2 linked regions of the Xenopus tropicalis genome follow. The protein of the gene in region 1 purifies or fractionates together with the protein of each later gene. This does not show direct contact. Links are inferred from orthologs where the notes say so. Each region holds a gene or a part of one and is shown on either strand. Other genes may lie near its edges. The genes, in order: cks2 and pkmyt1.

The links.
Region 2: the proteins of cks2 (region 1) and pkmyt1 purify together in Homo sapiens (affinity purification with mass spectrometry; 3 studies listed by BioGRID and IntAct, counting the BioPlex papers as one, with this or other methods). This does not show direct contact. The link is inferred for Xenopus tropicalis from reciprocal best matches to the Homo sapiens genes CKS2 and PKMYT1.

Annotation. Positions count from the first base shown.
Region 1 is NC_030677.2:137,844,990-137,849,323, forward strand, and holds the start of cks2 (cyclin-dependent kinases regulatory subunit 2), read left to right. Parts: upstream 1-1,347; 5' UTR 1,348-1,375; coding exon 1,376-1,434; intron 1,435-3,633; coding exon 3,634-3,761; intron 3,762-4,279; coding exon 4,280-4,332; 3' UTR 4,333-4,334. UniProt on the Homo sapiens protein: Binds to the catalytic subunit of the cyclin dependent kinases and is essential for their biological function.
Region 2 is NC_030685.2:12,696,464-12,700,834, forward strand, and holds the start of pkmyt1 (membrane-associated tyrosine- and threonine-specific cdc2-inhibitory kinase), read right to left. Parts: upstream 2,913-4,371; 5' UTR 2,882-2,912; intron 2,169-2,881; coding exon of another isoform or gene 2,103-2,168; coding exon 1,746-2,102; intron 1,335-1,745; coding exon 838-1,334; intron 434-837; coding exon 327-433; intron 1-326. UniProt on the Homo sapiens protein: Acts as a negative regulator of entry into mitosis (G2 to M transition) by phosphorylation of the CDK1 kinase specifically when CDK1 is complexed to cyclins. Mediates phosphorylation of CDK1 predominantly on 'Thr-14'. Also involved in Golgi fragmentation.

The sequences.
Region 1 (4,334 bases):
GAAAAAAATACCAGCCTTCCTATATTTGTTTCTTTTTTTCCCTATTAATAACATTGGCATCATCATCTTTGCCAGCCAGGCCGGTAAAATACCGGCCAGGTGGCAACCCTTATCTCCAGGGGATAAGCTGGTCACTAATGCTTTGCATAGTGTGAAAAATGTTCCATAAAAATCAAAAGATCTTTGCTTGGACCTGACTGGTAAGCATGACCCAAGATGTAACCAAGTACCATCTTTAGCGTTAATAATGCTGGCCATCCATACTAGCTGGTGCATATTGCAGTTATATCCACAATCATGTGTGAGCTGGAGTTCATGCAATTCTAGGTCAGCCAGTTTCTCTTTACAAAATCCAAAGGGGGACTATCAGATGGTCAAACTTGTTTTTCTCTTTTTGATAAACTACCTATTGTGAGCATTTGTTTATTTGTGTTCGGGGCCCACACACTAACAACCCCATCATAGCTGATATAAACGAATATATTATACAAAATAATTGTCTCCTGCACAGTAATAGTCAGAAGACATTCTGTGCATCCTGATATTAAAATATGTTACACCAGGTTCAGTCATGAGATAACACAGTGACCGCATGTTTTCTTGCTTTACTAATCTGATCAGTGAAACTGTTTGTACAACTATTTATTTCCCTTACAGAACCAGCTTTTTGAGTTGCCACTGGGCTGGTATTTTACCAGTCACGCAGGTAAAAATGGTGTTTTATGGCCTTGCTCTAATCTTATTAATAGGGAGATAAGATAAAAATAAAGAGAAGCCTTTATTTCATTTTTTAGAAACTGCGGCAAGCATGGGCAAAATATTTGTGCTTTCTGAGCAACAAAACTCTAAAATTCAAGTCTCCCTGGCAATAATAAATATGTATGCAAAACCTGTTAAACGTAAGAAAGACCCATATATGTTAGAATTGATTTTTTTCATTTACTTTATCATTGCATTAAAATTTGCGTAGAAAGTTTAATAAGCATTCTACAGCTACGTTATCACCTGTACTAGGCTACATTTTCCCTTAACCAAAATGGTGACTACGGCCAATCTAATTTATGCGAATTTAGCTCCGCCCTAGTGTCGTAGACGCCGCACGTCTTGGCTAAAGCCCTTTGGAAGCCCAGCAACTGGCCTTTGATTGGTTCATTTTATGATGCGCGCGCAGAAGATTAAAAACGTTCTTCTGATTGGACAAGAGCGGAACTTGTCGTAGCCAATTATCTGTAAGCGCAGCACAATTCAAAGCGCGACTTGCTAACTAGTGGCGGTTAGAGGGAGCAACCGATTCAGTAAAGCGTCACCTTTACCCGCCTGTAGTGGGGGATAGGAGAGCGAACTTGTCCGCGGCATAGCCGCTACTAACAGGAACATGTCATTCAAAAACATTTACTACTCGGACAAGTACTCGGATGAGAACTACGAGTACAGGTAAAACTTCGGTGGGATTTGTGACAGGAAGTCTCCTCATGCGGTCCTGCATGGGTTTGTGCTAAGCCTGGGCCAGCGTTGGCTGAAACGTAAAAAGAAACTGCGCCATTTTTGCTGGCATTAATTCTGCAGCAGCTGTGGAGTAGTGTGGGATGCCTAATTTTGCTTTACAGCCAGCTGTACGGGGCATTGGAGTTTAGCTATACATGGAGGGTAATTGGAGCCGAATGAAGTAAATCATAGTGTGTATTCATGTGTAGGGATCTGGCCATGTGTGCGGCACTGGGGCAAGAAGATTGCTATCATCTCTGCAAAGTGCTGCACAATGTCAGCGCTCATTAATACATTCTAATGTTTTTATGTATCTGTGGGCTATAATGCCACCTATTCGTGCCTAACATGGGGTTCTAGTTAAGAGCCACTTGTTTCTGTGTGAAAGACTGTAGCATTCTGCTGTAAATATTTCAACATGATTTAAGATGTGATGTTTTCAGGTGTAATTTCAGCCCAGTGTTTGCCTGCTAGAGAGTATGTGCTGGAAGTTGTACCAAGAGATCAAAGTCTTAAAGTGGCCACTGACTTTTGGATCATAGAAGCAATGTTTGGATTAGAGTTTTTCACAGAAAGGTGACTAGGCTTAAGGGTGAAGACACACAGAGCTACTTAGTAGCAGCTACTTTTTCATGGCTACTAAACTTCAGAAATTCTCCTGCCATAGACAATACGGAGAATTGTTCTGCTTAAACACATGTAGAGTTATCAGTAAATAATCGGCATTCGGTTTTTGTAGCTGCTACTAGTAGCTCTGTGTGTCTTCACCCTAACATGCCATAGAAGTTTCACTGCATGGCATTACTCAACCATCATACCCTTATGTGTACTACAGGAGAATATCTGCTAGTCTGTATTCATGGTATCTGTACCAGTTAAAAAAGAACCTAGGCAGCGGGCCTTGTTCATTTTATATCCATTACCAGGACCCCAGTGTCTTATACCCTGGACTCATCATGTAGCCCTCTGGACATCTCACAGGCTGATTGGTTAGGTTACTTGGAAGTTTGGCCTGTGCTTTTGTGTCCGTTGATGGCCTGATGTGGTCTTACAAGATTTCAATTGGCATTTAGTTGTCTTATGGGGCCACACAACATTTGCACATTATTTCCACTGTTTAGATATATGGACAAAATATGTAGTGTAAGCAGACTTAAAGGGATAGTGATGCTTAACCACATTTAATCCCCACAGTCCCATTTTCCAATTAACGTTTAGTATGTTGTAGTTTATTTTTCCAACTTTTTAATTGGTTTCTTTTTTGCCTCTTTCTATCTTTATTTCCAAACTATTGCCCTGTTTGACAACAGTTTTATTATTGTTACTTATCTTTCTTGCAAAAACAATTGTTTGAAATGTGTTACTTCAGTGGGTAAAAAATGTTATTCTGTTTGGGGATTAATTATGTATGCAAACTTTGAATACCTTGTTAAGCCACTTTTGCAGCAGTAACAGTTTTAATGCTTTTTATGGGTAAGCATGGGCCAGTATTACTCCCACATAACATGGGAGCTTGAGCATTCTTCTCTAAAGGTGTTTATGTTAAGCTGGCCATACAGCAACAAAGATATAATCATTTGGGGAGGTCACCTTGATATGGTCAAATCTTTTGCAAGTTAAAAGCAATTTGTGACTGATATCTAACACTGCTCACAACACAAAATATTTGCCATTTTACTAAACTATATCCTGCATTTATTATAAACCACTGAAACTGAAATAGGTTTTAATGTAACATTGGTTTATTAGTAGGAAAGGGAGAAAAGAGATGTTGATATCCAATCCCCATACATTTAGAAATAGTATGTATGTACCTGCACATGCCTAAACCATGAGCCATTCGATATTCATAGTACATTGACAAACGCCTAGTGAAAGTAATAAGTAACAAATGTAAGGGGATGCAGGCAGGGCACTCACCCCCCAGTGGAATAGACTTTGGTGATCTTTGCCATCACATGTAAAATCTATTTCACCGGGGGTGCCAAAATGTTAGATCACCAAACAAGTATATTTTTCAGTGCTTTGTAGTAACTGCCTGATTTAGATGTAAACGCCAATTTAGAGTAGTGTTTTTGGGTCACCAGTGTTTGCATTTTTACTAATTTTTTTTTACCTGTGGCTAAATGTATTTCGTTTTTAAAACAGGCATGTTATGTTACCTAAGGAGTTGGCCAAGCAAGTCCCAAAAACTCATTTAATGTCTGAAGAAGAGTGGCGAAGGCTTGGTGTCCAGCAAAGCCTTGGATGGGTCCATTATATGATACATGAACCTGGTAAGACTGCTTTTAAAATAATTCCAGTTCCATTCTTAATTCTTGTTCAGATACACTACAGGGGCAATTTATCTGTAATTGTGGTAAAAAATAAATTGCCACTGTCTCCCCCCCCCCCCCCCCCCCCCCCTTAAAGGGATCATATCTGTTCAGAATTGCTTCCCACTTGAGGTGGGGCTAACAGATCCCTCACTTCGGATGAGGGGAGGCTTTTCTGCCTGCAGTGGCAGGGGAGCCTCTCTTCAGATAGCAAGGATCTGGATGCAGGATACAACCTGTATTAGGGCTGTGACACATGGCTACAAAACGCCAGAAAATACCCTGTCGTAGATAATACTAAGAACTGTCTTTGCTAAAACAGACAATTATCAATATTGTGTATTTTGCAGTCTATGTGTAGTACTTCAACTACTGTAGTTGTGTTAGCCACTCTCTGTGTAGAAAAGAATCAAGAACTCATTTGATGTATAAATGCACCCTTGACTTTGTTAACAAGTGCATTGTTTTTGTTTTTACAGAGCCGCACATTCTACTTTTTAGAAGACCCCTTCCAAAAGAGCAACAGAAATGAAA
Region 2 (4,371 bases), on another chromosome or scaffold:
AATTTAGTCGGATCGGGGACCGCATCAGCTCGTTGATGTGGTCCCCGTACCGACTGCACCCTTTACCATCGTTGTACTGTAATTTGACCGAATTAGCCTAAATTCGCCTGATATCACCCACCCGTAGGTGGGGATATCGGGAGAAGATCTGCTCGCTTGGCGAGGTTAAAGTGTATGGCCACCTTAAGACATTATGTGCGTAAGATTCTTTCAGACCAAGCCAACAGTACCTATACGGCTACTGCCACACAGGGCAATGACAATGAGGAAAATTAAGGTTTTCTACAATTACCCCCCCCCCCCCCAATACCTTCATAAATCCTCACCTGATGTGAACTCTGTAGGGAGACGCCCTTGTCTTAGCTGCTGCCAGCCGTCTCCACTTTTTGGAAGCTCCATATTGCAAGCGACCTCTAGAAGACTCATTCCAAGGCTAAGTGATAAAAGGAATAGAAAATAATACATGGAACTTTAAGTGCATTTTCAATTTCAATTTGCAAAATGTCAGCACGGTGCGAAATACTTTCTGGTGTGCTGGAAAAATTATTATCTCCCAGTGGTCCCAACTACAGAATACCCGCTGGATGTCAAACGTGAGGTTATAATACTAAGTAAGTAGTAATCATTTATTCATAACCTGTGTGTAGCAAGTTCATTCCTCATCTCCCACCCCAAGACAAGCATACGCCTCGTACTAGCAAAGGTGATAAATTTACTAAACAGGCAGCACAGAGAGAGTTCCGTATCTGCAGCACTCCAGTAATTGTTACAAGGCCCAGCAGCATATCCAGAAGCCTTCTAGCTAATTTTTAGCTCCAGCTCCAAGATCATTCTCACCTGAACACATCAGCGGCCTTCGAAAAGATCCCATCCAAGAGTTCAGGTGCCATGTATCGAGGGTCACCTTCCTGCGCTTCTCCACTTCCTTCGGTTCCATCTAATTCTACCATGAGTCCAAAGTCACCCAGTTTGCAAACACCAGAAAATGAAATGAAGACGTTAGCTGGTTTAATGTCAAGGTGCAGAAGGTTGCGATCATGAAGATGTTTGAGACCGTGCAACAGGTCACAAGTTATGTTCCATATTTTACGTGGAGGGAGGGGCCCAGAAAATTCTTCCGAGTGCTGTTGCAGACTCCCTGCACATAACTCCGTCTGCAGGTAGAGCAATCGTTTCTCTTCCCATGCTCGCACAAAACGCAGGCAGTTGGGGTGCACCCCGACTCTCTCATGCTTCCTCACCTCCTGAAGCTTCCGTTGGCGGTCTGACTCGCCACGGAAAGGAGAAACTGAGCGCTTCACGGCATAGAAGCATCCATCCTCAAGGCTTTGCACCTAAAGAGAAGCATCGAGTACACATTAAGGCAATATTCTAAACTGATATCTGAACGAATTTGTGATATGATTAGAAGTTATATGTAAAGCGATTCAAAAAACATGGTAAGATCATTTATATGCACCATGGGGAAAATAATTAGGGTTGCACCGAATGTGGTTCGGGCCAAAACAAGGCTTTTTTTTTTTTTAAGGATTCAGTTTCGGCTGAATCCACGGTCCTGGCTGAACTGAATTCCTTGCTAATTAGGATTTGGATTCGGTTTAGGATTCGGCAGAATCCGTCAGGGTGGTTTCGGCCGAACCCAAAAAAGTGGCTTCGTAGCATCCCTAAAAATAATCATATAAACAATGATGCAACTTTATTAAAAATATCATTCAGGATATAAAAGTTTCTCAAAACGTTCTCACCTTGTATACCTCGCCAAAGGATCCTCGGCCTAATTTGCAAATGCTTCTAAAACACTGCTTGAAAAAGGTCTCTCCTTTGCTCTGGTCATAGAGCTCGCTTGCAGGGGGATTGTTCTGGGGACTTCGGAAAGAAACACTTTGTGGCCTAGGCTGGCTCCAAGACCGCTGTTTGTTCGGGAATAGGCGGCTAATAGGCAGAGCGCTCTTAACTGGAGGTCTGGGTGGCAGGGTATAGCAAAGGGAGCGCCCTCTTTTTTTAAGTGAAAAGCTTTGCTCTGCCTGACTGAAGTGAGCAGGCACAGGGATAGGGGTGCGAGTAAGGGGAGTATCTCCCATGTCATCTCCTGGAACAGGCATAATGAGCAGGCACGTTAAAGGTGAATGTAAGGGCGGTCCTTGTTCGCTCTTCGGAGATACAGGAGACTGTGGGCAAAAAAAAAATGACTTTCAATTAATTATACAAATGAGAAAATTTTTTTTTTATAATCCAGAAGAACAGCACCTACAGTAACTAACTCAGGGGTGGGTGAATACTAGTTCACTATATAAGTGGGTGTTGGTCCCGTCTGTTTAAAGGTAAAGTAAAATTGGCATATTTATATATCATGCAAATTGTTGTGCTTCAGGTTTCAGTTTTTGGTTGATCTAATTGTTAGGTCTCCGAGACTAAAAGGTGGCCATACACGGATCTTCTCCCGATATCCCCACCTTAGGGTGGGCGATATCTGGCAAATTTAGGCTAATTTGGTCGTTTGACCCTGGTGCCAAACAATCTAATTATAAAGACGGTAATGGGCGCAGTCGGTGGGGACTGCATCAACTAGCCGATGCAGATCCCGATCCGACTAAATTCTTTAACCTGTCGGATTGATATCTGGCCGATTTCAGGCCAGAAGTTGGTTGGGCAGGCCCGTCTTTGCTGACCCTACACGGGCCGATAAGCTGCCGAATCGGCAGCTACAATCAGCCAGTGTATGGCCACTTTAAATGTTTATTTGGCCAATTCTTTAAAAACACAATATGCATACAAAAATGTAACTCAAGGCACTATATCGAGCAAGGTTCCTCTCAGTTTTTGGATCAGTTTGTTAGGCAGTCGTGGTCAACATTAAGTTTGAATTCCCACTTGCTCTTACCCTACTGATGTTGTGTCACTGTGGAACGCTAAGTCAGTCTTCACCCTCTTGTGACCTGGACAGCTGGTGATAATTCCTGGAACCCGAAATACACGACAGCTACAACATGCCTTCTACTACGGAGTTGCTTATAAGGGGTATTTCTGTAGGGGAGGCTTTACATAAAGAGCAGTTGTGGAACGTGTAATGTCTGGCGCATGGGATTACCAAAGTAAATGTTATAGTAAGTTTTACTGTATGAGAAACCCAGTTCAACAACCACCATATCCTTGGCAGTCTCTTTCTGAAATAATATAATAAAATGAATCCTGTCTTCCTCACAGCAATGTGTTAATCTGTCTGTCTCCTGGCACAACCTTTCCCTAAACTATAAACACAATGAATGAATCCAGTATATGTTGCTATCTATACCAGACTCATCAATAGTAATTTTTGTGACTGTTTCTTCGCAGGAACTCACACTCTCGCTTCTGAGCTTGCCCGTCACTTTAAAGTTCTACTGCTTAGTTTCTCTACAAGCCTATCTTCTGTACTGATCATGGCCTGTCACTAACATTTTATTTACACATTCTGCATATTTGCTTGTTATATGAGCCAAATGTCATGCTGTTTGACTGTCACTTTCTTTTTATAATAGGAAGTGTCTCTTTATTTACCAGTTTGTCTCACAGTGTCCCTTGAAATGTTTACAAAGGAAGGGTAATACTTTGCCAGTCATGTCTCTGGTCAGGCCATATGGCCATTTCAGCATTCATTTTAGAAACCTTCTTTCAGCCAGTCCTGTTTATGCATATAAGATGTTTTTGCCAACAGTGGCTCTTCCAAGGCTGTCTCTCTGTGACAGCGGCACTTCCAAGGCTGTCTCTCTGTGACAGCGGCACTTCCAAGGCTGTCTCTCTGTGACAGCGGCACTTCCAAGGCTGTCTCTCTGTGACAGCGGCACTTCCAAGGCTGTCTCTCTGTGACAGCGGCACTTCCAAGGCTGTCTCTCTGTGACAGCGGCACTTCCAAGGCTGTCTCTCTGTGACAGCGGCACTTCCAAGGCTGTCTCTCTGTGACAGCGGCACTTCCAAGGCTGTCTCTCTGTGACAGCGGCACTTCCAAGGCTGTCTCTCTGTGACAGACTCTCTTCCAAGGCTGTCTCTCTGTGACAGACTCTCTTCCAAGGCTGTCTCTCTGACAGATGCTCTTCCAAGGCTGTCTCTCTGACAGATGCTCTTCCAAGGCTGTCTCTCTGGCAGAAGCTCTTCCAAGGCTGTCTCTCTGACAGACTCTCTTCCAAGGCTGTCTCTCTGGCAGAAGCTCTTCCAAGTCTGTCTCTCTTACAGACTCTCTTCCAAGGCTGTCTCTCTGGCAGAAGCTCTTCCAAGGCTGTCTCTCTGACAGACTCTCTTCCAAGGCTGTCTCTCTGGCAGAAGCTCTTCCAAGGCTGTCTCTCTGACAGACTCTCTTCCAAGGCTGTCTCTCTGACAGAAGCTCTTCCAAGGCTG